Sus scrofa: one gene and its partners. The protein of the gene in region 1 binds, or shares a complex with, the protein of each later gene. Links are inferred from orthologs where the notes say so. Each region holds a gene or a part of one and is shown on either strand. Other genes may lie near its edges. The genes, in order: TAF11, TAF8 and TAF13.

Region 1 (8,452 bases):
CTGGTGCCCTCCCCCCGCCCCTTTCCTAGAAGCCCTGATCTCCATTTCACCCCAAAGTGACTTCTCACTTCTCTGAACTAGTAACAGAGTCCCACCATCAGTTATGTAGAAATGTATCACTAATTTATTCATTCAACAAATCCTGAGTACTAACTATGTGACAGCATTGTTCTAGGGGCTGGGAAAACTGTAGCAAATGGTACTGGGTTTTGTCTCCCCAGAAGAACTCCCTGGGAGTGAGTTCCCATTGTGGCTCAGGGGCTTACAAACTTTACTAGTACCCATGAGGATGCAGGTTTGATTCCCTAGCCTCCCTCAGTGGGTTAAGGATCTGGCGTTGCTGTAAACTGTGGTATAGTTCACAGATGCAGCTCAGATCCCATGTTGCTGTGGCTGTGGTGTAGGCCGGCAGCTGCAGCTCTGGTTCCACCCCTAACCTAGGAATTTCCATATGACGCACCTGCGGCCCCAATAAAGCAAAAAAAAGAAAGAAAGAAAGAAAAGAAAGAAAAAGAAAAGAAAAGAAGAAAGAAAATGAACTCCCTGGGAGAGTTCTCCTCTTAAACTGCTTTTTAAAATCTTCCTGTGTAGACCTGGGTTTGCACTCAGTGCTTAATACCTAACAATTTATTTGAGCCTTGGGCTTCTTTGGTCCAAGCTCACTCAAATTGAAGTTACATAAACTAATGTGGAACAAAAGCAAACCAAGCCATTTCTAAATGAACTTCCACTTCTTAGAAACCTCAAAAGAACAAGGAAGGAAAAGAAAACAGGCTATGAAAGTGCTGCTGAAACAACACATTTTACTCACAGTGACAAGGCACCTCCAATCCCCCCTTCAAGATGCACAAAAGTGACCTTTTTTTTCTCTCAATCCTTACAGCTCCAGATTCAAGTGTTTAACAACAGTCCTTGGAAAAGTTTAAAGCACCCCTCAGTTTCCTAAACAAGTTTTCCTAAACCTTTATTTTTTGATGAATAGACCCCTTGATGAACACTACATATGCCACTTAACAGACTAATCCAATGAGGTTCGCTACATGGAACCAGACTTTAAACTCCAAGCACAAAGGGGGCTGAAAGAAAAACATTTTGAACCTGATAAACCCAAAGACAATTTTAATATAAACGACAAAAGCCACGTCCTGCAGAGCCTGGTGGAAGATTCCAAGTTCCCAAAAGAAGGGAATCAAGAGAATTTCCTCCAGGGGAACCGCGAGATTCTGCAAGGCGTGGGAGTTTCTGCAGGAGATGAGGGAGATTTAAAACACATTTTTTTTTTTCCTCTAAAGTGGCTTGTGAGATACAACAGCTGGCACCCGCCAGCGGGCGAGGGTGCAGCCGGGCTGTGCCATGCGGCGGAGGCTGCCACCTGGGCACTCCCACCATTCTTCGCAGCTGGGTCAGGAGGCGAGATGAGAGGAACCCGAAGCCGCGCGGACCCGCACCGGTGCCCCCTGCCCCTTGGGCCGCCTGCCCTCGCCCTGGGGCAACCCGCAAACCCACCCCGCTAGGGTCTCTGGAGCCCCGATCTCTCTGGAGACCCAGGAGACGGGCGGGGGAAAGGGGATCTCCAGGCGGCTGCCGGGTATCGGAGCGTTACTCACCTGAGCAGACTGGACAGAGGATGGCTCGAGGAGCTTAGACCGCCGCCGCCGCTGCTGCCGCCCCCGGAGCTGCCGCCACCGCCGCCGCCACCCCCGAAGCCTGAGGAGAGCCGCTTCCCGGACAGCAGCTTCTCCACGGCCGGGAGGTGCCCGGTGCGGGCGGCCTCCAGCAGCTCCTGCTCTTTCCCCATCCCCAGGGCCGCCGCCCCCCGGACCTCCTCCCCGGGGCCGCCGCGGAGCCTGCTCTGGCTCCCAAACTTTCCGTCTCCGGGCAACGCACCCCCCAAACCGGCCGGGGACACCACCCCCTCCCCCCGCCTTTTCCCCCAGGAGCGCGTCACTTCCGGGATCCGGCGTCACGCGTCACCGCGCCCCTGCGCCCCGCCCCTTTGCCCACCTAGCTGGGCGGGGCTCGGAGGGCGGACACAGGTGGCTGGGGTCTGCGCCAAGTGGCCTTGGTTGAGCCGAGATTGTCCTCTCTGGGCGAGAGGAGGGTGTCGTGTGGTCACCTGCTGTACAAGTGGGAAGCTACAGATTCGCTCCACCTGTGCGCGCCTCCCGACGTGTTCTTCTTCCTCAAAGGTTTTGGGAGCTCGCAGGATAGGAAATACGGTAATTCATCCAGGCAATGTAGAAACAAAGAGAGAAATATGGCAACGCGCATCTACATTTCCAAGTCCATTCATTCAGCACGCATAAATTAAATACGTAATAGATGTGGGAACCTAGTAATACAGAGGTGAATAAAATGCCCCCTTCCGTACTTCAATGAGGGAAGAGAGGGAACTTTTAAAACAAAAATATCCCCACTTAATGCTCCCAACTCTGAAACGGTTCGTTAAAGCTAAACATTCAAAGGGAAGGCTTCTCTCCCAGTAGGATGTTTCCTCTTTCGATGACATTAACCAAGCTGATATTAAAGTCAAATGTGTGAAACCGACCCCGACCTTGAGTACTGGGGAATTGGAAAAATCATTCAACTGGGTAGAGATTATGTCTTTTGTTTCTGGTACTAGCATTGTTCCTGGCTCGAAGTAGGCGCTCAATCGTTGTGGAGTGAATAAGGAATTGGATAAATTCGGTTCAAGCTATAGGACTTTTCTTTTTTTTTTACGTTTTTGAGGAACAAAAGAGAAATGCTGGCAATTCAATGTAAACACAGGACCGCCGTCTCTGTCCAATTGTACTGCCTGAGTTTACCCGGTAGCCACAGGGAGTACAACGGAATTGAGTTTCCTCCCGTCCCCAAGATTTCTTCTGAGGAAAGAGAATGAAGGACAAGAGTTAACTGACATTGCGTTTTTAGAAAGACGGAAAGGAAAAAGACGCCCTTCAGTAAAAAGCGCAGCTGTCCTTTACAAATACTGGTTTCCCAGGGTGGAAAATACACAAACTGAGTTCAGTACCCTCAATTTTCCCTCTCCCCACCGCCACCAAATCAAAACGGAGCCCTGATGTCCTCTACACGCGCCTGTAAATGACCCCTCTAAGGAGCGGTGTGGGTGACGTCATCGCAACGCGACGACAGGAAGTGAGCTCCTGGGCTGCTGTGCTGCGCGGGGTCCCGAGCTCCTAAGCCCTCGATGTCCTTTCCCCTCTCCTTCTGACCGCGATGGATAATGCTTGCGAGTCGCCCGCGGAAAAAAGTGGAGAAACAGGGGAGGCAGATGAGATGGCTGCTGCTCCCGGGGCTCCCGGGGTTACGGACACGGACGGAATCCCGGAGGAAACGGATGGAGACGGAGATGGGGACTTGAAAGAAACCGCGGCTGAAGAAGGCGAGGTAGGGAGAGATGTGTCCATGAGGCCGGAGTTGTGTCAGTGGCTTCTCGACAGGCTTCCTGGTTGGTCCCAAGCTAGGATAGTCGAACTCACCCTGACTCTTTAGCTGTGCAGTCGCGGGGTTGCGGGGAGAGAGAAGACAAAAATCTTAGTACCGCTTAGGTTCTAAGGACCGAATACTGGATCAGCGTTTTTAATCCCTGCCCTTAGACATTTAAGCTTTTTCCCCACCACCAAGTTCCTGACCCAGCGGCCGGAAGTTCCCGGGCCAGGGATCGAACTGTCCCAGTGACAATCGCGGGATCCTTAACCTGCTGAGCCACCAGGGAACTCCTAAAGGAATTTCAAATAGCCTCTTGGTCTTCCTGGTGATGAAAATGGGGTTCATGCCACACTGAGACTTAAGACGAGAGCTAGAGCCCAGGCTTCCTAGAACCCTTTTCACCACAATATAGTTTCTTTAAGGTATTGCTTAAGCATAGTTATCATTATAGGTTACAAAGTTGTTAAAGGGAACTTGGAGGTAGTTACTACTTTAGTCACGTTGTTACCCGCTTGGGACATTTAACTCCTACCAGTGACCTTGGTGCTAATCTCCAAGGGTCACTGTGGCATAAACACACCAAATCTATCAATTGGGCCACCCAAGAGTTCAGCAGTGTTGCTTCCTGAGCATCAAAGGACCAGAATCTCAGTGTTCTCCGGGTTTCATTTCTAAAGATGAATCTTGAGGTCATAGAGCTAGAATTCCTGGATGAAGTTGTGTGAGATCATGGGTTAAATGAAAACAGCCTTTCAGGGCATGAAGTTGCATCAAAATATATAAAGTTGAGAACTTTTAGAAAAACATGGAGGAGTTCCCGTCGTGGCGCAGTGGTTAACGAATCCGACTGGGAACCATGAGGTTGCGGGTTCGGTCCCTGCCCTTACTCAGTGGGTTAACGATCCGGCGTTGCCGTGAGCTGTGGTGTAGGTTGCAGATGCGGCTCGGATCTTGAGTTGCTGTGGCTCTGGCGTAGGCCGGCAGCTACAGCTCCGATTCGACCCCTAGCCTGGGAACCTCCATATGCCGCAGGAGCGGCCCAAGAAATAGCAAAAAGACAAAAAAAAAAAAAAAAAAAAAAAAAAAGAAAGAAAGAAAAATATGGAGTTCCTTGGTGACACAGTGGTTAAGGATCTGGTGTTGTCACTGTAGCAGCTCCGGTCACAGCTGTGGCACATAATCAATCCCTGGCACAGGAACTTTCACATGCCATGGTTTGGCCAAAAGGGGGAAAATTTTAAATAAGTGGAAATGATATCAAAGACAGAATTTGAGTAATAATTAGCTTAGGACAGTAAAGAGCTCACTGAATACAGAAATTTACACCCAGCAGAAGATTAAAAAAAAAAAAATTTTCATGCTTCTGAAACACTTTTAAAAATTCATCATATACCATACCACAAAGAGAAGCATAATTATTTTTTTTTTTTTTGTCTTTTATCTTTTTAGGGCCACACCCGCAGCATATGGAAGTTCCCAGGCTAGGGGTTGAATCAGAGCTGCAGCTGCCAGCCTACACCACAGCCATAGCAACACGGGACCCTTAACACACTGGGTGAGAACAGGGATTGAACACACATCCTCATGGATACTAGTCAGGTTCGTTAACCACTGAGCCATGGCAGGAACTCCAGAAGCATAAATTCTTAAAAGTAGAAATCATAACAGGCCATATCCTGTTAGTACAATGCAATAAACCTGAAATTAACAATGCAAACTTCTCCCACCCCCATCCTGCCAAAAAACTAACACCTGAACACTTTAAACTATTTCTTAAAAGCCAGTGGATTAAAGAAATTAACAAAGAGAATACCACATCAAATCCTATGGGATTTTACCAAAACTTTATTTAAAGTTTAGTCCATAGCCTTACATATTTTAACTAGCAAACGAGAGATATTGAAAATAAGCACCTAACTCAAGAAACCATAAAGAGAACAAGATAAATCAGAAGGATGTAGCAGCAGGCAGATATTAATGAATAGTTCTTAAAAAAACAAACACTAAAATTAAGACCTGATTATTTGAGGGAGTTCCCATGTAGCTCAGCAGTAATGAAGCCAACTAGGATCTGGGAGGATGAGGGTTTGACGCCTTACCTCACTGAATGGGTTAAGGATCCACCGTTGCTATGAGCAGTGGTCTAGGTTGCAGACTGCACCATCGGATTTAGCTTTGCTGTGGCTGTGGTGTCGGCTGGCAGCTATAGCTCCAATTAGATCGCTAGTTTGGGAACTTCCAGATGCCACAGGTGTGGCCCTAAAAAAGACAACAACGAAAAAGACCTGATTGTTGAAATATAAAAGTACAACATTATGAAATAAGAAAGGGCTGTATGGACTGATATGGAGATATTTAAGCTTTAAGAAAACTGAATGTTAAAGTTTAGACCAAGTAATTTTGAAAATTTAAGAAAAATAGCCCATTTTTAAGAATATTGGAGTTCCTGTTGTGGCTCAGCGGTAACAAATCCAACTAGTATCCATGAGATGTGGGTTCGATCCCTGGCCCTGTTCAGTTGGTTGAGGATCTGGCATTGCCGTGAGCTGTGGTGTGGGTTTCAGATTCGGCTCAGATCTAGTGTTGTTGTGGCTGTGGTGTATGGTCGGCAGCTGCAGTTCTGATTTGACCCCTAGCCTGAAAACTTCCACATGGTTCGAGTATGGCCCTAAAAAGCAAAAAAAAAAAAAAAAAGAATATAAACCACCAAAATTGATGCACAAAGAGGTTAGAACATTTGTATAAATCAGTAACTAGAGAAGAAATTGAAAAGGTTATTAAAGATTTACTACCTTCATTCACTCTCATCTACTTCTCGTATTCCTGTATGAGTTGAATTGTGAGTTCCTCTGTAAGGAAAATAGAAGTTAAATCCCATTAATGAGGTTTTTTTGTATCCTTAGATTCTCTATTAAGTTGGAGAGGATGAAGTATGGATTTTGATTTTGTTGTTTTATTAAACACATTAAACATCTAGTATGAGTAAAACAATGTTAAATGCTTATGTGGGTAAAGAATGGCCATCATTAAAAAGTGTACAAATAACAAATGCTGAAAAAGTGTGAAGAAAAGGGAACCCTTCTACACTGTTGGTGGGAATGTAAATTGATGCAGTCACTATGGAAAACAGTATGGAGATTGCTCAAAAAATGAATAATAGAGTTGCCATATAATCCAGCAGTCCCACTCTGGGGAATATATCCAGACAAAACCATAATTTGAAAAGATATATGCACTGGTATGTTCATAGCAGGACCATATACAATAGCCAAGACATGGGAAAAAACCTAAATGTCCATCAACAGATAAATGGATAAAGAAGATGTGGGATGTATATACAATGGAATATTACTCAACCATAAAAAAGAATGAAATCATGCCATTTGCAGCAACATGGATGGACCAAGAGATTATCATACTAAGTGAAGAAAGAGAAAGACAAATACCATATGATATCACTTACATGTGGAACATATTATCAAATAGAAACAGACTCAAAGATACAGAGAACAGGCTTATGGTTGCTAAGGGGAAGCGGGGTCAGGGAGGGAAGGATTAGTAGTCTGGGATTAGCAGATGCAAACTATTATATGTAAAATGGATAAACAACAGGGTCCCACTGTATAGCACGGGGAACTATTTGATATCCTGTGATAAGCCATAATGAGAAAAATATGGAAAAGCATATATTATATATATATATGTATAGCTGAGTCACTTTGCTGTACAGCAGAAATTAACACAACATTGTAAACAACTATGTTTCAGTAAAATTTTTTAGATGCAAACTATTGCATTTAGAATGAATAAGTAATGAGTTTTTAATTTTTTTTGGTCTCTTTAGGGCCGCACCCCTGGCATACGGAGTTTCCCAGGCTAGGGGTTGAATTGGACCTATAGCCACAGCAACACAGAATCTGAACCGCCTCTGTGACCTACACCTCAGCTCACAGCCACACTGGATCCTTAACCCACCAAGTGAGGCCAGGGATCAAACCTGCGTCCTCATGGATGCTAGTCAGATTCGTTTCCACTGAGCCACCATGGGAACTCCAAAATTGTTTTAATTTTTAATGTTTATATGAGGAGAGATAAATAGACAAAACTGTCTTCAAGGGAGTTCCTGTTGTGGCGCAGCAGAAACAAATCTGACTAGGAACCATGAGGTTGCAGGTTCAATCCCTGGCCTCACTCAGTGGGTTGGGGATCTGGCATTGCCTGAGCTGTGGTGTAGGTCACAGACTCGGCTCGGATCTGGCATGGCTGTGGCTATGGTGTAGGCCAGCAGGTACAGCTCCAATTGGACCCCTAGCCTGGGAACCTCCATATGCCATGGGTGTGGCCCTAAAAAGAAAAAAAAAAAAGAAAAAACCATCTTCAAAAGTTCTGTCGGAGTTCCCTTGTGGCACAGTGGGTTAAGGATCTGATGTTGTCATGGCAGAGGCCCAGGTCGCTACTGTGATGTGGGTTTGATCCCTGGCCTAGAGAACTTCCATATGCTGTGGGTGCAGCCAGGAAAAAAAAAGTTCTCACAGTCTAGTAAAGGGAACTTAGTATTTGCATGATACAGAAGAATTGAGAGATAGCAAAGAGCACTACATGTGGGAGAAGCGCACTTAAAAGTTCCTAATTCAAAGAAACACTGCTTTGATGAGAAGGTGCCTCCTTTTTAATATTCTTTCCACATGGAATCATCATCAGTAAAGAGATCTATAGATTTAGAGGAAGAAGAGCTGGCCAGATTTCAAGCACTTTTCTGATATGCCCTCTAAAGAATGAGGTTAGAAGAGTAGATTCAGGGGGAGAGTGATTTTTCATGATCCTTGGCATTTCATTGCCCTTGTAAACAGACACTAGAACTATGATCATAGCTAACCTGGAAAACTGGATTATTTGGGTTTTCTTTCCACAGCTGGTCTATAAACTCCTTTAGGAGTGATAGTGTATCTTATACTTAATGGTACAACCAATACCTGGAACCAAAAAACTACGGAAATAAATGCTTTCGTTGTGTTGTACT
Region 2 (7,195 bases), about 6.4 Mb from region 1:
GCATGTGTGGCTGTTAAAAGAAAAAAAACTTTTTTCAGTTAAAAAAAGATTTGAGGAGGTGACAGGGAGAAAAGCATAGGCAGCAGCAGTGATGAGGGTGGCCGTCTCCCCTCCGGGCACACAGACCCCGTTTACGGCCTCAGCACTTCTCCACAATCTGTAATGATTTTTTCTTTGTATGTTTTCCCACTAGAATGGATTCCCAGGAGGGCGGGGGCCACGTCTGTCTGTTGACTTAATTCTTAGAGCCTGGCACAGGGCCTCACAGACATAGAAGGCAGTAGATCCGCACTTGTCGGATAAATCAAAGAAATAGGAGTTATTGAAAAGAAACGGTGAATCGGCAGAGGACCTGGCCAGTTGGATTGGGCAGTTTGGACATGGTGTGGATGGGCGCAGGGATGGACTAGAGGTCCTAGTGTGGGGAGCGGGGGAGGAAGGACGAAGCTGGGGCTTGTGGAAAGCTGGGCCTGGAGAGGGACAGGGGCTGGGGCAGAGCAGGAGGCTGCTGCAGCCTCAGACCGGCAAGGAGGGAAGAGGTGGCAGAATTTGGTGAGTGATCAGACGCAGATGAAGGATGAGGGGTCCAGACTGTCTGAGGATGAGATGATGCTGCAGAGGCTGTGGTCCCGGCCTGAGGCAAGTATTCCAGGGCCAGCTGCTGCTGTGAAAACTGGGGAGTGGAAGTGGTTTTGGGGGAAAAGTGAATCAATCCCAATCTACCATGTTGCTTTGAAAGTGTAACCAGGAATTACTGTTGTGGCTCAGCAGGTTAAGAACCCAACAAATATCTGTGAGGATGCAGGTTCCATCCTTGGCCTCACTCAGTGGGTTAAGGATCCAGCGTTGCCACAAGCTACAGCACAGCAAGCTTCGGCATAGGTCAGATATGGCTCAGACCCATCAAGGCTGTGGCTGTGGTGTAGGCTGACTCCTAGTCCTGGGAACTTCCATATGCCGCAGGTGCAGCTGTTTTTTAAAAAAAAAAAATTAAGTCTATTAGAGATGCATAATAATGTATTCATAGACTACATGTTTTGGTTTTTGCTTTTTTGCCACATCGGGGCATAGGGAATTTCCCTGGCCAGGGACTGAATCTGAGCCACAGCTGGGGCAACACCAGATGCTTAACCCACAGTGCTTGGCTGGGGACCAAACCCACACTGAATCAGAGACAATGCCAGACCCTTTATCTGCTGTGCCACACTGGGAACTCTATGACATAGTTCTTAGATTGGTTTTCTTCGGTTTGGGGTTTGTTTTATTTTTTCTTTTTAGGGCTGTACCTGCGGCATATGGAAGTTCCCAGGCTGCTGGCCTACACCACAGCCACAGTAACTTGGGATCCGAGCCTCGGCTGTGACCTACACCACAGCTCACAACAACGCTGGATCCTTAACCCACTGAGTGAGGTTAGGGATGAACACACATCCTCATGGATTCCAGTTGGGTTCGTTTCCACTGAGCCACAACGGCAACTCCAAGATTGGTTTTTAAAAATACTCCAGGAATAAAAAATAAAAGATGTAGAAGAAATAGACGAAACAGAATTGAAATGATGTCAAGTGTTGAAGCTGGGTGAAGAATATACAGGGAAAACGAATGTGTGCTTTCCTCTCTAGCTCTGTGTTTGCAGAGGTCCCAAATGAAAAGTTTTAGACAGTTTGAAAGGGTACTTTTTCCCTTTTTTTTTCTTTTTAGGGCTGCACCTGCAGCACATGGAGGTAGGCCAGGGGTCCAATCGGAGCCACAGCTGCCGGCCTACGCCACAGCCACAGCCACACTAGATCCGAGCTGCGTGTGCAACCTAAACCACAGCTCGTGGCAACTCCAGATCTTATTCCATTGATCGAGGCCAGAGATCGAACCCGCAACTCATGGTGTCTAGTTGGATTCGTTTCCACTGCACCACAACGGGAACTCCTGAAAGGGTACCGTGTCCAACCTAAGTCTCAGCCTTCTGTCTCTGAATGCCGCCTCACTCATTGCTATCACTTGTGCGCACACATTGAGTTCAGAGCTTACCATTCTGTTTCACTTAGGATTTTTATTATGACCTTTATTAAGCGCTCATAAATCACATTCTTAATCTGGCTCTGTTTACTACTTTTCCCCTCCACCCATTCCCCTAAAGTTATAAAAAATAAAAATATATAAATATACATTGAGGATTACGCAGCGTTTTTACACAACAGTCACGTCAGTGTTGCAGGCTGTCTGACCATCTCCCCATGTCTCATCCAGAACAGGGTGGCCTCTGAAGCAGCAGCAGCAGAAATGGCACTTCTTTTCCACGTCCTCCCTCATCCTTCAGCATAACAGCATTCGACGGGCGTCGTGGAGGAGCTGCTGGGGGGACGGCTCCGGAGAGCGGCTGAGAGCAGCAAGCCGGGAAAGTATCAGCCCTGTACCTGCCGTGGCTCAAACCTGGGGCCGTTATTTAAACACATCAGGCCAAGCCTCACCAAGAGCCAAAGGCCAGACGTGGAGGGTGCAGCATAGGCCCAAGCGGACTTACTTTCAACTGCAAGAGGGGCAGGTCACTACCAACTGGAAAATCTCTTATTTGGTGCGGAGCTGGGGACTCCAGTTTTCTCCGTCGGCATCCCCTGTTCAGTTACTGACGAGCAGCGCCTTCCTTCTGGCCAGCGGGATGAAGTGCGCAGAGGACAATGAGGCCAGAGGGACGTGGCACTTGCTGTCAAGCTGCTTGGTTTTTTGAATTTTCAAATTTGCCAGGAGGACAGAAGATTAAGAGATGACTGTGGAAGCCGAGTACCCAGGGAGCTCAGCATGGTCCTTAGGGCGCTGACCCAGGGAACTTGGTGTTTACGCCACGTTAACTTTCAGCTGTCACTGGCATTTTTCTTCCTCTGACTTGGTTTTAAAACCTCTTCCTTTGGAGAGGAGCTAAAAAGTACCCACTTGCCCAGCATCTTCCTTTTCTGGTTTGGAGGGTGCATCAAGGATGAAGTCTTCTCTCCCAGGGGGCAAGGAGGTTGGACAGATTCAGACCTGCAGGCTCTTCTCAGCCCCCTTCTGCCGTCAGTGGGCACATGGCCATCCAGCCAGCCGGCCGCCCAACAGACCAGCCAGGTCTCTTGGCTTTCAGAACATGAGGCCAAACCCGGCCTTCAAAATCTCACTCCTGTCACCCCCCACCCACCCCCATCAAATCCTTTTCCTACTGTGTAAAATCAGTGATTCCTCTGTCAAGTCACAGCATGATCTATCCACTGGTGTAGGCTCTTGTCAAAGAAAACCTCTTTTCCTGGGATGGGGCAGGACTTGGTCGTTCCCAAGCACACGCTCCCTAGAGGGACAGTAAGGGACAACTCTCGGCAGAGGGCGCTGCCCTGCTACAGGGAGCTCTCATCACAAGCTGATGGGAGGCAATGCCGCCCTCCTGCCTCAGCCTCCTCCACGTGACCGTGACCGTGTCTGCTCCTGACTCCTGCCGGCCCCACAGGCTATGAAGGGTGGGTCTCCTGTTTCCAACATGTTAAAGGAGGGAAAGTCACCTTCGATCAGCGGAACAGGGCCCTTGGAGCCCAGGTGAGGAGAGGAGGAGCGGTTGTTCTAGGATAATTTGGTGCTGCAAACTGTCAGTCGATAAAAGGGGTCCAGGTGCCTTGAAATACAAACTAAGCCACCAGTCTGTCTGGCAGTGAGCAAAAGAGGCAAAGCCCTTCCTTTCCCGGCACCTCCCCTGGTATCCAGGTTTCAAAGAATCAAATCCCATGATAATAAATGAAGTCACTGGCTGCTCCTATGCCCCAGGGTACAGCCTGGTGAATTTAAAAAAAGCCTCATTGTTACTATCGTGTCTTCTTCAACCCAAATATCCAGTGAAAACAGGTAATCTTAATAGAGAGTCTGCTATTAAAATCATGCCCGGTCAGAGCCTGGCAGCCTCAGCTGGACCCCAAGGCAGCCACCCTTTCTTCCCCCCAGGAGGGTGGTGTCTGTGTCTTTGTACAAGGCAGGCTTCCTTCTCAGCTCACGAGAGGGACCTAGAAAGAAGAGGAATCCATGGAGCCTGCCTGGAGGGGGCCCTGCCGGCTCTCCTTCTGGGGAGTGGGGGACAGCTGCTGGCCAAGAGGGCTGGTCCCTGCAGGACGCTCCACCTCCACGCTACAAGCGGTACATGCGGGAGGCGAGGACGGAGAGAAGGGAAAACACTTCCTCTCACCAGAGTAGCTCTCCCCGGGGGTTCGGACCCTCCGGAGAAGGGGTGGAGAGGGCACCTCGGGTGGCCGGGGAGGCCCTGAGCGCCCCAGCCTCCAACTCACTTCTTCCTGCGGATCTTGGGTTTCTTCACGGGCCGCAGGTAGGGGTTATCGATGATGCTCTCCTCCCCGTTCCGGCTCCCCGACAAGGAGGGGTTCTGCTGCAGGACGGAGGTGTTCTCCTTCTCGGCTCCAGAATCATCCTTTGAGCAAAAGCCGAAATAAAGCAGAAGACCAACGGCATAAGGACAACGACCATGCCCGTGATGGGAACTGCATCCCTTTTGTGGAGAAGCTAGAAGCTCAGGTACCATCTTCTAGCTAATGTGCTCATCTCTGCCCCCCAGGCAGCGGCTGCACTGAGGAAGGTGAGAGCACAGAACCCCGATCCCTGAATCTCCAGAGAGGGCAGGGATGCGAGTTAGAAGGAACAGAGACCCAGGAGGCGCAGGGGATCAAGATTTAGATGCTTCAGGAAGGAAGCCCAGTGCATGGGGAGATGAAGAAAAAGAGAAGCGGCCCCCAGTGCCCCGAAGGACTGAGGTACAGGACTGGAACGAATTGTGTGCCCAGGGCACTTCCTGGACCAAAGCTCACAGATCATGATGTTTTCCCCCAGAGTCTCAAATAGTTGGTACATGCAACATGGCACCAACGACCACACCCCAGCAGAGCCCAGAAACTGCTGAAGCCCCGAGGACTCCCACCAAGGCAAAGCAGTGTGTGCCAGCAGCAACCCAGGAGCGTCACCCACTGTCCCCACCTGTGGCCATGGGACAGGCCCTTCACTGCTCATTTGTTTTTGTTTTTTTTTTTAAATTTTATTGATGTACTTATTTGGCCGTGGTGAGCAGTGGCTTGTGGGATCTCAGTTCCCAGACCAGGGCATGAACCTAGGCTGTAGCAGTAAAAGCGCCGAGTCCTAACCACAAGACCACCAGGGAGTTCGCCCTCACTGTTTTTTTTGTTTTTTAGGGCCACACCTGTGGCATATGGAAGTTCCCAGGCTAGGAGTGGAATCAGAGCTACAGCTGCCGGCCTATGCTACAGCCACCGCAACATGGGATCTGAGCAGTGTCTGCAACCTACACCACAGCTCATGACAGTGCCAGATCCCTGACCCGCTGAGCGGGGACAGGGATAGAACCCACATCCTCATGGATACTAGCTGGATTTGTTTCCACTGCGCCACAACGGGAACTCTATTCACTGTTTGTTTTCCTTTTCCCAAGCCAGCAATGGACCCCACAACACAGCAGCGACTCGAACCACACCAATGACAACACTGGATCTTTAACCTGCTGCACCGCAAGGGAACCCCTCATTGTTTTTACAAACTGCTTCTGGGAATGTGGGTGATTGCGTTTCTTTCCCATTTTTACACTCTTCTATTTCCCAAGTTTCTTTCTTTATTTTTTGTCTTTTTGCCTTTTCTAGGGCCGCACCCACGGCATATGGAGTGTCCCAGGCGAGGGGTCTAATTGGAGCTGTAGCCATCGACCTACGCCAGAGCCACAGCAACACGGGATCTGAGCCACATCTGCGACCTACACCACAGCTCACAGCAATGCTGAATCCTTAACCCACTGAGCGAGGCCAGGGATCGAACCCACAACCTCATGGTTCCTAGTTGGATGTGTTAACCACTAAGCCACGACGGGAACTCCACCTCCCAAGTTCTTTAAAAGAAGCAGAAGTTGCAGGGGAGGGGGGGAAATCATATGAAAAACTTGACCTAAAAGCTCAGGCTCAAGTGGCTCTAAGTGAGCGGCAGAAGCAGCTGGTCCTGCTGCGCCCCCTGGTGACATGCTGAGGGTTCTGTTCTGTAACTTGAGGCAAGAGAGGACCTAACCTCGACCAGGAGATTCTGCTGTCCAAAGACAGAGGGCGCTGTGACCAGATGGCAGCTTCTCCCAAGGGGACCGCTGGCTAGGATGCAGCGCCAGTCTGGGCTCAATGAGTCTGAAGAAGGTGATGACTCCGAGGTCCAGCTGCACACCCTCTCACTGTCCATCAGTCCTGCTCTCCCCAGAGACCCAGGCTCATCCAGGGCCCGAGGGCTTTCCTTTCTCCAACCCCCAACCCAGTGGGACCGCGGCATGAGCGACAGCTGCTGTGGACCTTCCAGAGGCTCTGTGGAAAGCAAGTCCCCAGGCTCAACCTGGCTGGTGCCAGACCAGGTGAAGGACATGAGGTCTGACCACACAGACCTGCCTGGGATATGTGGCTCCCGACCTTTTTGAGGTGCTTAATGGCCTGGTTCAGTAACCTCCCCCCAACCCCCTTCCTCCTACCATCCATCTACAGTAGACGCCCTTTCTTCAAAGTTCCTGGAAGTTCACTTCAGCTGTGCTTTAAGTGCTTCCTGTGACGATAAGGGTGGCGGAGACACAGTCAGGGGTGTCCTGGGACCACTGCTGGAGGCTCCCTCCGTCCGGCTCACTATGCCTCACAAGGGCAGGGGGGTTACGAGTCAGGACTTGGGGCCTCCCAAAGAGAGCTTCTGGAAGTGCCACTTTCTCTGCCCTCTTGGGGACAGGCAGCCTCGAGGTGGAGAGGGACAGAAGATAAAAGTACTAAACTGACTGAGATTTGTTAAAAAGATGGGAGCAGAACGGTCTGTCAGGAGCAACTTGGGCTTGGAAAGGTCAGACTCAGGCAACACAAGCACGCTCTTCGGGACCACCAGGCGCCCCAGCCCAGGAGGCCGCATCCCGCCTCACAGCTTCCAACACCATTCCCACGCCCGCCTCTCCCATCTAAGCCTCTCCAGCCCTCACCTCTCCCCTCACCTCCAGGCTCTGCACAGCCACTGGTCAAGCAGGCATCTCAAATTCCAAGTGCCTAAAACGGAACCCTGGACCTTCCCCTTTGCACAGACAGCAGCTCCCAAGCCCTCCCAGCACCGTGATGGCAACTCCTCCATCCAGGTGTTCAAGCCCCACACTCCACAGTGGCTCCTGCTT
Region 3 (8,333 bases), on another chromosome or scaffold:
ATTCTTTGAAGCAAAAACTATTATTATCCCCAGTCTACATAGATGGGGAAACTGAGGCACATAGGTAAATGATTTATCCAAGGTCATAAGATAGTGAGATGGAAACTGAGTTTGAATCCAGATGATCTGGCTCCAGAGTCTATACTCCTTCCCACAACAGGATTACCCTTCTTGGTAGTTTAGGGAAGATGGGAGCCATATGGATTCTTATCCTACAGTCTATAAACTCCCAGTTAGTTCATGGATAAGCTTTGAGAAGTCAGGGGACTCTAATGAAATTATATGCAAAAAAATTTTAAACATTATTTGAGTGTGTGTGTTTTTCTGGGAAGAAAAATCAACTCATAAGATTCTCAAAGGTGTATATACTAAGAAACTGTCACATGTTAGAAATGTTTCATATCCTGATCTGACTAGTGGTTACAAGTGTATATATATATATATGTATATATATATATATATATATGTAAAATTCATCAAGCTATTCACTGAAGACTAGTCCTATCTGTCTGTCTATCTATCTATCTATCTATGCTTCTTAGGGCCACACCGTGGCATACGGAAATTCCTAGGCTAGGAGTCAAATCAGAGTTGCAGCTGCCTGCCTATTCCAGCAAGGCTGGATCCAAGCCGCAGCTTCGACCTGCACCACAGCTCACGGCAACACCGGATCTGTAATCCACTGAGCGAGGCAAGGGATCAAACCCATGTCTTCATGGATACTAGTCGGGTTTGTAAGTGGCTGAGCCACAGCAGGAACTCCAAGACTAGTACAATTTATTGTATATAAGTTTTACATTAAAAAAAAAAAAAAAAAAGGAGTTCCCGTCGTGGCGCAGTGGTTAACGAATCTGACTAGGATCCATGAGGTTGCGGGTTCGGTCCCTGCCCTTGCTCAGTGGGTTAACGATCCGGCGTTGCCGTGAGCTGTGGTGTAGGTTGCAGATGTGGCTCAGATCCCAAGTTGCTGTGGCTCTGGCGCAGGCCAGTGGCTACAGCTCCGATTAGACCCCTAGCCTGGGAACCTCCATATGCCGCAGGAGTGGCCCTAGAAATGGCAAAAAGACAAAAAAAAAAAAAAAAAAAAAAAAAGAGGAACTCCTAGAACACTTCTAAAAGCAGGAATGAGTACATTAAGAGCAATTCCTATTTAGGAGAAAAGAGTAGACAAGGCCTGCAGATGAAAAGAAAGGGTAACTTTGGAAGCCAGCCTGGGATAGAGAAGTACCCTAGGGTTTATTCTGGCAAAAGTCTCTAGGCCCAGATACAGGAGGGAGAAAACAAACACAGGAGCCAGTATTTTCTCCCCTCTCTTTTCTGGATTCTGAACATTGCCCCCACCTTTTTTAAATAGGTAATTTCAGACTTAGAGAAGAGTTGCAAAAGTAGTACCAAGTTCCCCAATGCCTCTATCAGTTTCCCCTTATGTTAACATCTTATATAACCAAAGATATTTCTCAAAACTAAGAAATTAACAGTGGTACAAGTACCAGTTTCTCCACTCATGTACTTTTTCTGTTCTAGGATCACACACTATTCAGCTGTCATGCCTCCTTGGTTTCCTCTGTTGTGCAACAGTTCCTCAGACTTTCCTTGTCTTTTAGAACCTTGATGCTTCTGAAGAATACTGGTCAGTTATCTTGTAGAATGTCCTTCAGTTTGGGTTTGTCTGATGTTCACTCATGGTTAGGTTGTGATTATGCATTACTAGAAAGGGTACACCGAGATGATGTACCTCTTAATGCCTCATATCATGAGTACATAATGCCAACATACATTACTAGTAATGTAAACTTTGATGACTTGCTAAAGTAATGCATGCCAGGATTCTCCACTGCAAACGTAATTTTTTCCTTAAATGTTCTGAGGAAGATATCTTGTCATTAACATTTTGATGAGAAGAATTCATCAGTAGGGAAATACACTTCACTGGAAAAGGAAAAACTTAGATGGGAAGTTTGTAAACTGTTTTGATTAAAGAGTCTGTAAAGGAGTTCCCATTGTGGCTCCGTGGTTAATGAACCCTACTAGTATCTATGAGGGCATGAGTTTGATCCCTGGCCTTGCTCAGTGGGTTAAGGATCCGGTGTTGCTGTGAGCTGTGGTGTAGGCCACAGACACAGCTTGGATCCAGCATTGCTGTGGTTGTGGCATAGGCCAGCAGCTGCACTCCAGCGCTGCTGTGGCTGTGGTGTTGGCCAGTAGCTGCAGCTCCGATTTAACCCCTAGCCTGGGAACCTCCATATGCTTCAGCTGCGGCCCTAAAAAGACAATAAATAAATAAATAAATAGAGACTGTAAGGATATAAAAACCAGCAGTGAATGCTTTGAAACTTTGTGTTATATTGGCAAAAAAAACGTTTTTAAAAAAAGGTTTAGGAACAGATCTTGTTCAGGAAGGTATATGAAGATTCAGGTAAGACAAGGAAAAGGCTTCGAAGATTCTGAACTCTTGTCATCACAAAACAAAGCAATCCAAGTGGAACAAAGGCTTCTGGTAAGAACTGACTATATAATCATCACTATGGGACACTCTGATATGGAATCCCTTTCTTATGGAAACATAAGAAGCAAAACCAACCATAAGAGGGAGGGGGAGGGACAGGGAGGTTGGGGTCAGTAGGTGTAAACTATTGCATTTAGAGTGGACAAACAGTGAGATTCTGCTGTATAGCACAGGGAACCATATCTGACCACTTGTGTTGGAACATGATTGAGGATAATGTGAAAAAAAAAAGAATGTATACGGATGTATGGCTCGGCCACTTTGCTGTGTAGCAGAAACTGACAATAGACTGCAATCCAAAAAATTTTTTTAGAAAGAGAAGCAAACCCACATACAAATGGAGTAAACAACATCAGAGATAGAATAAGAGGTGATCCACTTTCTCTTTTTTTGCTTTTTAGGGCCACATCTGTGGCATATTAAGTTCGAAGGCTAGGGGTAGAATCAGAGCTACAGCTGCCAGCCTATGCCACGGCCACAGCAACGTCAGCTCAGCCTGGCTGCGACCTACACTGCAGCTCATGGCAACGCTGGATCCCAACCCACTGAGCGGGGTCAGGGATCGAACCTTCATCCTCACGGATACTAGGCAGGTTTGTTACACTAAGCCACAATGGGAACTCCAGGAGTGGTCCACTTTCAATGAGAAACTGATATAACAAGGGATTTGAATGGTTAAGGAAGAAAAAGACATACTGACTCTGCAGTTTCAAGAGCATTTAGGAACTGCTTACATGCAAACCAGCATAAGTAAACAAAGTATTCAGGCGCTGCCTCATCAGGTCAGCCATGTTACATGAAAAGGACTGGGACTGGGAGATAGAGAGCCCGCACATTCTCATGGTGCCTTTCAAGGGCTGGCCTGGATCAGCAGCAGCAGCAGCTGCTCTCCTTGCTGCTGCCAAAAAGGGTAAAGCTCTCTACTCAGAGAGTAGAACAGAGAACCAAAACCTTATTATCTCTATGCCACTGGACTGCCTCACACTGTTCACTTTCCTTGTCCACTGCCTTAGTCCAAAGCCCCAACTTAATTCCTATTCTCAGCACCTGTTCCAGGAGCCAACATAACCTTTGGCTTACAATCAAAGGAGTCCCTGCTCCTACTACTGCACAGGTAAGGGACAGAAAAAGTAACAGAGGTACTGAATTGAAACACTGATCATATTTCTTTTTTCTTTCTTTTTTTTTTTTTTTTGCTTTTTAAGGCCACACCCATGGCATATGGGAGTTCCCAGGCTAGGGGTCAAATCAGAGCTATGGCTGCTGGGCTATACCACAGCCACAGCAACACAGGATCTGAGCCATGTCTATGACCTACACCACAGCTCATGGCAACGCTGGATCCTTAACCCACTGAGCAAGGCCAGAGATTGAACCCAAAACCTCGTGGTTCCTAGTCGGATTTGTTTCCCCTGCACCACGATAGGAACTCCCACATTTCTTTAAAAAAAAAAAAAAAAAAAAGTGTGTCATATACATACATATACATATATAAATACATACACTGGGGTAAGAATCATTACTATGGTTCACAGGTTAAACAAAATTTACAGCTAAGTCTGACAATATTGTCCCTACAAGGAAACACATTCAGAACAGTAAGTCTACTTTGAACAGACATTTCCAAAGGTTTTTATCTATAACGAAATCATTGCCAAATACTACTTACATTCTTTAGAAAAAAGTCTCTTTCTTTTACCCTGTCCACCTTCGGCACCTCCTCCAATTTCTTCACTTTCTTCCTCAAACTAGAAGTTAAAATGTATACATAGAGATGTCAAGCACTGCATTGGACTTTTAAATAATTAACATTTTTTCCCCACCTTCAACAATGATATCATGCCTGAAAGCCTAAAGCAGGCAGCAAAACCCCATGAAACCTTAGAATTTCAGAGGCCTTAAAAACTATCAGTCCAACTTCAGACTCATGCAGGAATGGCTTCTACAATATCCATAATAACCGTAGTGTCTCTCCTGGAAAAGTTCCAATACCATATTTTTGTTGTTGTTGTTGTTTTTTACCGAGCCCAAGGCATGTGGAAGTTCCCTGGTCAGGGATCCAACCCGCGCCACAGCAGCGCCGCAAGCCGCTGCAGTGACAACGCTGGATCTTTAACCTGTTGCCCACAAAGAACTCCCCACACCGTTCTTTTTTTTTAAACCAACTAAGCTGGCCTATTTCTAGACAGTTTTGCTAGTAAAGGAGTTGATACTGAATTAAAGCAAGCAAAACTAAGTTACTAAGCACTGCTAACACAGCCCTAAGAACGTTCCTCAAGGAAGCCTTAATCCCATTTTGTGATGTGAAAACCGAGGCTCAAATAACCTGCTCACAGAGAAAAGAGATTTTGAAATCCATGTTCCCTGACTCTGAGTCCATTATTTTTCCACTATTTTACAATAAGTATATAGTTTTGTTAGCAGTTGAATTGACGGTTCATAATGAGCGCTAACATACTAGCTTTGTCCTCTGATGATTCTCTAGATGTTTCAGAGAGTGTCTGGCAAACATGGACCAAAAGCAAAGGGCAGGCAGGGAGCCACGCTCCCACTCTTCCCGCCCCGCGTACCAAAAAGATGAATCTGAAGGGAAAGGCTAGTATGAAGCAAAGTCTCTGATGCTCTCCTCTGAAAACACTACGGAAAAAAGCTCCAGTTCTAAACTGTGCCTCCGCTATAAGTGCCCGAAAGAGTGCAGAAAAACGTGGGCTGGAACACAAGTGGTCACTCACGGTGGGGTCTTCCTCCTCATCTGCCATCCCACCAGCCAGCCGCCTCCCGGACTCGCCTGCCTACCACCCAGCGGGTTTTATCACTTCCGCTACCTCACTTCCGGTGACGCGCAGAGCCGGGGCGGGGCCTAGTCGCGACCCCGCCTGCGCAGGGGACAGCAGCTCGTCCGACCTAGCGGCCGGACCGAGAGGGCACTTAGTTGAGGATGACGTCTTGTCAAGAAAAAATTAAAAATTAGCAAGGAAAAAGGAAATCTCGGGCAAGGTGGCGTGTATCTCTTGCTTCCGTACGTCGGATTTCTGCTTCCTGATTCGACTGCGAAGCTATGTATCGTTCAGGGCTAGCTAGGGGTTCGTTTAAACATCTTCAGCCCCTCAGAGTTCCACTGTTATTTATTACTAAGGTCTGTATTGGTTACTGAGGATGTACTTTGAAAGCAGTTCTCAAGGGGGTGTTATCATCCCTTAGACTGGGGACTTAACTTTTGTGGGGCGTTTTTGTTTGTTTGTTTGTTTAATCAGAACTTTGGGAAAACCATGGATTTTAGAAGGCTAAATAAAGCTAGGTGTTTAAGCTGTTCTGCAATGCAAGGCCACACAGGGAAAGATTACCCCACAATACTCTATTTCTTTTTTTCTTTCTTTCTTTTTTTTTTTTTTAGAGCCATACTTGAGGCATATGGAAGTTCCCAGGCTAGGAGTTGAATCAGACTAGAACTGCAGGCCTATGCCACAGCCACAGCAAATTGAGATCCAAGCTGCTATGTGACCTACACCCAAGCTCACAGCAACACCAGATGCTTAACCCACAGAGAAGGCCAGGGATGGAACCCTGCATACTCATGGTTACTAGTCAGATTCGTTTTGGCCACAACAGGAACTCCCAAACTACATTATTTCTGAATGTTCTTAACATTCCTGTGAGTGAAAAATCAGTTCATAATTATCTGGGCCAAGAACATAACTGTTAATATATAAACACTGGCATTTTAGTGGCCTAGCAGTTAAGGATCCAGCCTTGTCACTGCTGCCCACCCCACCACAAAAGAAAGAAAATTCAATGTACCTTAAAAACACAGGAAAATGCTTTGTGTTTGCATTTGGGCTTTTTTGTTATTTATTTTTGCTTTTTAGGTTCTCACTCGCAGCATATTGAGGTTCCCAGGCTAGGGGTCCAATTGGAGCTTTAGCTGCTGGCCTACACCACAGCCACAGCAACACAGGATCCGAGCCACATCTGCAACCTACACTACAGCTCACGGCAACGCCAGATCCTTAGCCCACTGACCAAGGCCAGGGGTTGAACCTGTGTCCTCATGGATGCTAGTCAGATTCATTAACTGCTGAGCCACAAAGGGAACTCCCTGTATCTCTTTGTTTGGATCCTTAACCTACTGAGCCACTAGGGAACTCCCACACTGAATTTCCTAGGAATGCATATATATATATATATATATATATATATATATATATGTCTCAACCGCACTCCCTTTCTTGTCACAGAATTCCTAAAACCCTTGTAATTTGTTAAGTGATAAGAGCACTAGGAGCATCTCCTGTTCTAATATCTGGTCTTTGACATCCATCCCACACCTCCTCTATGCACACACACCGGGCTATTAAAACCCCTGTAAATTCCTAAGTGATAAGAACACAACTTTGTTCTAAAAAGGCATCTCTGAGTGGGCTCCTGGACGGCTCTTAGATAGGGACTAGTCACCAAAATGACCAAACCTTGATTAGAACCTTGGAATTTTCAGGCCTCTTCCCTGCCACTACCCTCCCAATTCTCTAGAGAGAGGAGAGGACTGGAAATGGAGTTAGTAATCGATCATGCCTACTCAAGGCATAACAACTCCAACGGTAAGGGGTTCAGAGAGCTTCCAGGTTGGGGAACACATCCACTTACCTGGAGGTTGATGCACTTTAATTCCATGGAGGCAGAAGTTCTGTGCTCAGGACCCTCCCAAAGAGCGCCCTGTGTGTCTCTTTATCTGTATCCTTTATCATATCCTTTAATTAAATTGGTAAACATGTCTCCCCGAGTTTTGTGAGCTGTTCTACGAAATAACCAAATCCAAGGGGGGAGGAGGTCATGGGACCCTCTGATTTGTAGTCCAGTCAGACAGAAGTTGGGGGTAACCTGGGGGCTTACTACTTGTGATTGGCATCTAAAATTGGGAGCAGTCTAGTGGGACTAAGCCCTTCATCAGTGGGATCTTACACTCTCTCCAGCTCAACAGTGTCAGCATTGAGTTAAACTGCAGGACACCCACCTGAGGTCACACAATTGTTTGCTGTGTGTGTGTATGCGTCGGGGGGGATACGCCACATATTTGGTCACCAGAAAGGAAGTGTTCTGTGTGAAAGTAATGGAGAAAGATACATAGAAAAGAAAGAACTGGGAATTTCCCCCCAAAACAGCAACTACCCTGAAATTGGACAGAGATAGTACTTTGTTTTGTTTGCATCTCACCAAGAGCTGTGAACTACTCAGGAAATAATGTCATGAAAAGCCACATCACTTGTAATAATTTGGGTAGCCAATATGCACTGGAATCAGTCTGCATTTGTAGCTCCTTGCATTCACGGGGACTCTACATATACGTGCAAGCATCTGAGATCATTATACCCTCTAGCTAGTCATTTATATATATTTATAAATATATTTATATATTTATAAATATATTTAATATATATTCATATATCAAAATGCATATTATTATAATTTACTGTCTTTATTTTACCTTTATATTATAGTTAGGACATTATACTTTTTAGTTATGTGGGTACTTAGGTCTATCGGTTATTTATTACTGTGTAACAAATTATCCCCAAACTTAGTGGTTTAAAACAATGAACACTTATCACACAGTCTCCTCTGAAGAATTGACGCGGAGGATCCATTTCCAAAATCACACTGTTTTCAGCAGGATCCAATACTTCAGGTTGTTAAAGACCTCAGTTCTTCACTGGCTATTGCCAGAAGCCTCCCTCCACCCCTTGCCACGCAGTCCTCTTCATAGGGCAGCTGACAGCACGCCTCTATCAGCGCAGATGAAGGGGAGAACCAGGAAGCATACCCAAGACCACAG

What was found.
Region 2: TAF11 (region 1) and TAF8 share a complex: the UniProt entries of both Homo sapiens proteins name them as parts of the TFIID basal transcription factor complex. The link is inferred for Sus scrofa from reciprocal best matches to the Homo sapiens genes TAF11 and TAF8.
Region 3: TAF11 (region 1) and TAF13 share a complex: the UniProt entries of both Homo sapiens proteins name them as parts of the TFIID basal transcription factor complex. The link is inferred for Sus scrofa from reciprocal best matches to the Homo sapiens genes TAF11 and TAF13.

Annotation. Positions count from the first base shown.
Region 1 is NC_010449.5:30,806,437-30,814,888, reverse strand, and holds the start of TAF11 (transcription initiation factor TFIID subunit 11), read left to right. Parts: upstream 1-3,120; 5' UTR 3,121-3,219; coding exon 3,220-3,390; intron 3,391-8,452. Other genes in the region: ANKS1A (ankyrin repeat and SAM domain-containing protein 1A), read right to left, coding at 1,608-1,798. UniProt on the Homo sapiens protein: The TFIID basal transcription factor complex plays a major role in the initiation of RNA polymerase II (Pol II)-dependent transcription.
Region 2 is NC_010449.5:37,199,536-37,206,730, reverse strand, and holds the end of TAF8 (transcription initiation factor TFIID subunit 8), read right to left. Parts: intron 4,433-7,195; coding exon 4,293-4,432; coding exon of another isoform or gene 4,289-4,292; exon of another isoform or gene 4,014-4,288; coding exon 4,001-4,013; 3' UTR 2,028-4,000; downstream 1-2,027. UniProt on the Homo sapiens protein: The TFIID basal transcription factor complex plays a major role in the initiation of RNA polymerase II (Pol II)-dependent transcription.
Region 3 is NC_010446.5:110,977,796-110,986,128, reverse strand, and holds the start of TAF13 (transcription initiation factor TFIID subunit 13), read right to left. Parts: upstream 5,314-8,333; 5' UTR 5,266-5,313; coding exon 5,239-5,265; intron 4,255-5,238; coding exon 4,176-4,254; intron 1-4,175. UniProt on the Homo sapiens protein: The TFIID basal transcription factor complex plays a major role in the initiation of RNA polymerase II (Pol II)-dependent transcription.